Linked DNA regions of Canis lupus familiaris. The protein of the gene in region 2 binds, or shares a complex with, the protein of the main gene of each other region. Links are inferred from orthologs where the notes say so. Each region holds a gene or a part of one and is shown on either strand. Other genes may lie near its edges.

The links.
Region 1: the proteins of CCNA2 (region 2) and GMNC are in contact, whole or in part, in a cryo-EM structure (PDB 9HIU), measured with the Homo sapiens proteins. The link is inferred for Canis lupus familiaris from reciprocal best matches to the Homo sapiens genes CCNA2 and GMNC. Residues at the interface, in NP_001228.2 of Homo sapiens: Met210, Ile213, Leu214, Asp216, Trp217, Glu220, Val221, Glu224, Arg250, Leu253, Gln254, Tyr280, Ile281, Thr282, Asp283, Thr285; in NP_001140158.1 of Homo sapiens: Asn165, Ala166, Lys167, Arg168, Asn169, Leu170, Ser171, Glu173, Phe174, Ala175.

What each region holds. Positions count from the first base shown.
Region 1 is NC_049255.1:22,977,214-22,980,074, reverse strand, and holds part of GMNC (geminin coiled-coil domain-containing protein 1), read left to right. Parts: intron 1-508; coding exon 509-625; intron 626-2,376; coding exon 2,377-2,861. UniProt on the Homo sapiens protein: Regulator of DNA replication. Promotes initiation of chromosomal DNA replication by mediating TOPBP1- and CDK2-dependent recruitment of CDC45L onto replication origins.
Region 2 is NC_049240.1:19,147,502-19,151,157, forward strand, and holds part of CCNA2 (cyclin-A2), read left to right. Parts: intron 1-102; coding exon 103-215; intron 216-407; coding exon 408-631; intron 632-1,184; coding exon 1,185-1,392; intron 1,393-1,810; coding exon 1,811-1,924; intron 1,925-2,330; coding exon 2,331-2,464; intron 2,465-2,793; coding exon 2,794-2,842; 3' UTR 2,843-3,596; coding exon of another isoform or gene 3,597-3,656. Other genes in the region: EXOSC9 (exosome complex component RRP45), read right to left, coding at 3,597-3,656. UniProt on the Homo sapiens protein: Cyclin which controls both the G1/S and the G2/M transition phases of the cell cycle. Functions through the formation of specific serine/threonine protein kinase holoenzyme complexes with the cyclin-dependent protein kinases CDK1 or CDK2.

The DNA.
Region 1 (2,861 bases), on a different chromosome or scaffold from region 2:
AAATTTTTGCAAAGATTGCTTCATTTTCCATGTTTTATTTGCTGTTGTTCCCGAGAGAGTAATTTAATCTAGTGGATATACAAACAGATTAGCCTGAGGATGAGGGAAGCCAAACCACCACCACCCTTGTTTTTCATCTTTTCTTAACATGCAAGGAAGGAGTCTAGTGAAACCTTTCTAAACACCTTTTTCTATATTTAAACAGTTGCACGCAGCTCATTTTCCTACATACCTTCCCAATTCCCTTGTGGTTACAACTTTGAAAGTCATATAATCTCTTCAAATACTTTGCAGTGAATAAAAGGTTCAGAGCACAAAACTGAACAATGAGGTGGTGGGTGGGTGTAGATTGAATTTAGGCCTGAGAGGACGAGGGCTCCCTGAGGTTGCGTTCATAAAACAAATAGAATAATAATAAAGTTTAAGCAGGTTAAGGATCAGTGGCATGATTATACAGTTACAAAGTCAATAGAGTAGAGGGGCCTTCACCACTGTATGCTTTTCGCAGCTCCAAGACACTCTAGTGCAGAAGGAAGAAGAACTCGCTAGGTTACACGAAGAGAATAATCATCTCAGACAATACCTGAATTCTGCTGTGGTTAAATGTCTTGAGGAAAAGGCCAAGGTATGTAACCATCCTGTTCCTAAGAGCAGAGCAGTGATTTGAGAATGGAGATCATTGGGGTAAAACTGACTTGACCAAAGTAGAGAAGGTGTACTTGAAGCATGGCTTCAAAGGCATTCATAGGCTAAATGGATTTTTCTGAAAGAAATACAGCACTTTCTTAAAAATATATATTTTATTTATTTATTCATGAGAGACACAGAGGGGCAGAGACACAGGCTCCCTGCGGGGAGCCCGATGCAGGACTCAATCCCAGAACCCCAGGATCATGACCTGAGCCAAAGGCAGACACTCAACCACTGAGCCACCCAGGCGTTCCAATATGGCACTTTCACAAGACTTCTTATGTATCATTTCTTGGAAGTTTCTAGACTGTAGATTTTAGCCATATATTACAAAAAGAGTTGCTTCAGGATCAAAAATCAGTCAAGGGAATTGCTAAGACAACAGAGGTTAATCAAAAGACAGAGTTAAATGGATGGAACATTGCAGTGGGAATCAGATCTGAAAGACACTCGGTTCTTTTAATTATCTGCTGGGCTTTTGGTAAATTGCTCTTTCACTTAGCCTCACTCACCTACCTCTGTAAATGCAGAGGCTAAAAGATCCTTTAAGAATCTCCCCAGCTCTAAAATGTTATGAATAGGGTTAGAGCCCAGATCTTTTGATTGGCCATTATATATTGCTGATGACATCATCTTTCAGTGAACATTTTTTCTTACTTTTCAAAGGGACTATTTCTGACTCAAGGACAAATAGCTTGTCCATAGTCTCTTTCTGTTCTTCCTTTCTCTGGGTTTTGTATTTTTGTTATCTTTTTGCCCTTCTGCTATCATTATTTCTTTCGTCATCAATCTTTACCTTGCTGCTAGACAAGCTCCATTATTTGATATTATTTAAATAAACTCAATTTAATTTAAATTGATGATGTTCCTTACCATTTTCACTGGAAATAATAGTTCAAAGAAGAAAGGGTACCATATCTGATTCCTCTGTAATTTAGTTACAATCCAGTCACCTTTTTAAGAAAAGGAGCATATCTCCCAGTTACAAGCTTGGGCTCCTAACTCCAACCACCATTTTGTAAAAAAAAAAAAAAAAAAGACATTTATTGAATTAGTAAATTATATTGATTAGCAGTTTTCTCTCTCTTTTCCCAATTGTTTAAGATGTAGAATAATACATGTCACTTGAGAGTACTATGAAAGTTAATGAAATAAGAAGAAGCAGTGTTAGATATTGTTTCAATCAGTTACTCTGTCTAGATTCAGATGGCTTACATTTAATCAAGGCTGCATGACCCTTAGTAAGTCGCTAATATGCCTGTGTCTCAGTTTCCTCACTAAAGAGGATTTTATAAAATGAGAATATTATGCATGTAGTAGGTGTTCAATACATGATAGTTGCTATTATTGTCATTATTATAATAATTACTTCTCTGAATTGAAAATTTAAAGACATTATTTCTTTCTTTCAAGTTTTATATGATTAGTAAAACATGAGTTATGGTTTCTAGGTAGTAACTTGTCATTATAGATGTTAATTTAGAAACAAGCTAATCTAATCACTTTTGCTCGCTCGCTCTCTCATGTGCACACATGAGAGAGAGAGAGAGAGAATAGAATTTTAATCACATTTTCTAAGGAATTAAGGGGACTAGTAAGTATTTGGAGGAGTTTTAAGCAGACAATGTAAAGAAAATTATCTTGGTTGACTGTCTGACCATATATTTTCAAATGCTACTTCCCTAGAAATTGCTGTCATCAGATGAGTTCTCCAAAGCATGTGGACAATTCAGAAAGAGAAAGAGGAAACCCAGAGAGCAAAGATATTTTCCTCCTGAGATCCCCCATCACAAAAATGCCAAGAGAAACCTCTCTAGTGAATTTGCTAACTGTGAAGAACAACCTGGGCCCCCTGTGGATCCCTGGGTTCTTCAGACACTTGGGTTAAAAGACCTCAACACCATCGATGACACTTTATCAGCTAACTACAGTGCCTTCTTTTCTCATCCCAGAAGAACTGCCAGCACATTTCCCTCATTTCTGGATGGTGCAGTTGATTATGAAAATATCCCCAGGGAGGATCTGCCAATTAACTATGGAGGTGACGGAGCAACCCCCTCACATAGCACTGCCAGGCCCAGGGAAGATTTCCACTTCCTTTCTCAACTTTCAAACCCTCCAGGAGGGCTGCAAACTCCTCCTTACTATACTTCTGATGTGTCACCCAATAA
Region 2 (3,656 bases):
GAAATAAATGCTTTTGAATGGGATGCCTTACAAAGCCAATCAGTTTGACTGTTAATTAGAAAATTAAACTATGAACTTAATCATACTTTTATATCCTCCCAGAGTCACCACATACTATGGACATATCAATTGTATTAGAAGATGAAAAGCCATTGAGTGTCAATGAAGTTCCAGACTACCATGAGGACATTCACACATACCTTAGGGAAATGGAGGTAACAGCTCTGGAATCCAGTTTTTATACTGTTATTCATTGTGGCAAAATGAAACCAAGGGGATGATTTTAAGTTTTTTAACTGCTAGTGGATTATTCTGTTGTATTTAGGTTTCTGGTATGTAGCATCTTTGTTAATGGTAGAATAATCTAATTGTAATTTTAACATTATACTAAGTAACTTTCTCAACAGGTTAAATGTAAGCCTAAAGTGGGTTACATGAAGAAACAGCCAGACATCACTAACAGTATGAGGGCTATCCTTGTGGACTGGTTAGTTGAAGTAGGAGAAGAATATAAACTACAGAATGAGACCCTGCATTTGGCTGTGAACTACATTGATAGGTTCCTTTCATCGATGTCTGTGTTGAGAGGAAAACTTCAGCTTGTGGGCACTGCTGCTATGCTCTTGGCCTCGTAAGTCCAACCTGGTTTGTTGGATTAAAAGTGATAACTTCTTGTGTAGGGAAGAAGTTGTGATTTTTAACATTGTGACATTTTAATATACACAAGGCAGAGAGTGACTACTTTAAGGGGTAGCAGTATGAAACAGAGTAAGAAACTAATTTAGGACATTAATTTTCCCAGATCTAGATTTCAGGGAATTTTCTTGAATGAAGATGGGAGACGGGCTATATTTTAATATGCTAGGACTAGATTACCAAGTTTAAAAGTGGTTCCTTCCATCAAAAAGTACTTTCTGGCATGAAATCTTCTCACCATTAAGACATGGAAACTAAATTCAAAAACTAAAAATGTTTATTTTTCTAAGAATTTCCTAAATTTTTAGTTACTTGGTGAATTCTGGCATTGTGGTGGAGTATAGGTTTTGGATTCATTCCATGTATTCTGCTAAAGGGATTTCAGAATTAGATAAACAGCTTGCTCTGCTAAAGGGATTTCAGAATTAGATAAACAGCTTGCTTCTCTTTTTGGAAGAACTGATTACTCAAAACTTTTTTCATTGTAGAAAGTTTGAAGAAATATACCCCCCAGAAGTAGCAGAGTTTGTGTACATTACAGATGATACCTATACCAAGAAACAGGTCCTGAGAATGGAGCACCTAGTTTTGAAAGTGCTTGCTTTTGACCTAGCTGCACCAACAGTAAATCAGTTTCTTACCCAATACTTTCTGCACCAGCAGTCTGCCAACTGCAAAGTTGAAAGTTTAGCAATGGTAAGTTCTTTTCATTTTGTTGAATGAAGATTTTTAGGTCACATAGTTTAATTACATAGCTTTGGTCAAGGGATTTAGTATTTCAGGGACAAAGTAGTGTTGCCGCATAAAAAGAGCCTACCATTGGCAAAAGAGAACATGAATTGGGAAAGTACCAGGAGTATAGTGGTATAAGGATGAAGTCTTAGGAAATGGTAGCCAGAAGAGTTGTTTTAAAAATTATTAAAAGAGGAAAAAGTTCAGGATGAGAATGGAGCAAAAAACACTAAGATAATGGATAAGGCTATGGGAGGTTTTTTCTTTGGTTGCCATAGAGCCAGTCTTAAAGAGTGGAAAATGTTAGGGCAGAAGGCAAAAATTTGAGGTTTGAATTCTAGAGCTCTTGTAATCATCAAGTGTATTTACTTTTTCATTCCAGTTTTTGGGAGAATTAAGTCTGATCGATGCTGACCCCTACCTAAAGTATCTCCCATCAGTTATTGCTGCAGCAGCCTTTCATTTAGCACTCTACACAGTCACAGGACAGAGCTGGGTATGTATTGCCATGCTTCACATGTCTACCTAGCAATTTGAATATTTAGGCCAGATAAGTTAGATAACTGTACAAGTGTTGGTGGTCTAGAGGTACCTACCTGGAAAAACAGTTCAAAAAAATCTAAGCTGCTTAAAGTTTACCTGTTTAGTAATATGTTTGTTACATAGAAAGCTTAGTTATTGCTTGGATTTGGAAGATGTGACCTACTACTGACAGGTAAAGTAATAAAAATTGATCAAAGTCAGCATAAAAGATGGATTTACAGCTTGAGAACACTAGATTGGTTAGTTGGAGGTGTTAGTCCTAAATTTAATGAAATTCAAGCTTAATACCAACTACTAACTCATTGTGTTTAGTGTTGCTAAAAACAAAACTCAGTGGTTCTCTACTCCTTTCTCTGCAGCCTGAATCTTTAGTTCAAAAGACTGGATATACCTTGGAAAGTCTTAAGCCTTGTCTCATGGACCTTCACCAGACCTACCTCAGAGCACCACAGCATGCACAACAGTCTATAAGAGAAAAGTATAAAAGTTCAAAGTAAGAATTAACATAAATAGGTATTAAAGAAGCTTGCTTTTCCTGGCTACTGTAGGATTCTGAGATCCTTGACATTTTATCAAAGGATTCAAAAGAGGCACAGCCTCCTCTTGGCAAGCCAACTGTTTTGAGCAAGTTGTAGTTAGAGGCTTTATGTTCTCCATTTGAGGGAGAGGAGGGGAGAGGAATGGGGCATGCATGCATGCTTTGTGGACCAGTGATTTAATAACCATTAATTCAGAATAGAAATAGCATTTTTGAGTTCCTAATTAGATGTATCATTCCATGATCTTACCTGATGAACATTTACTGTTTTTTCCTACTTACAGGTATCATGGTGTTTCTCTCCTCAACCCACCAGAGACACTAAATGTCTAACAGCGAAAGACTGCCTTTATTTTCTAAGATGTAAATCACTCAACGTATATGGTGTACAGTTTTTGTAAGGTTTTAATTTTACAATCATTCTGAATAGTTATGGTCAAGTACAAATTATGGTATCTATTACTTTTTAAATGGTTTTAATTTGTATATCTTTTGTACATGTAACTATCTTAGTTATTTGGCTAATTTTAAGTGGTTTTGTTAAAGTATTAATGATGCCACCTGTCAGCACAATAAGAGTAAGAACTAATAAATGGATTTGGAAAATTTGGTTTGTAAGTCAAATTGGTTTGACTTTAAGATACCACTCAGAAGAATTAATGTGATTTTACTATAGAAGGGGACTGGGAAGGCTTCTCTTGAAATTAAAAATAGTTTTAGGGAAACATTGAAGTTTTAATATTCAGTTTCCTAAGCAACTGGATCAATTTTGTGACTTGAGCATAATCTAAGCATATCTGGAATAAATCTGTGCTTATTTATCAGTTGTGATGATCCTGAGAATCTTTCAGCCCTTTGAACACACTATGAAAGTGCTTTTTCTTTCCTCAACTTTTACACTTTACAATTATTTAAAACCTGTTAAGTTGTCCAGAAGGTTAATATTTTAAAGCATAATGTAAAATGCTATGTAAAGAATCAACTAGATTTTATAATGGATTTGTGAGTAGAAAAATACCCAAAGTTATTAGCACTGAATAAATATCCTTTTAATAGTTATATATACAAACATACAACTCTATGCACTTCAATTGGCAGCTCTCTTCTTTTTTCTCTTTTTCACCGGCTTTTTACTTGGTGCTTTTTC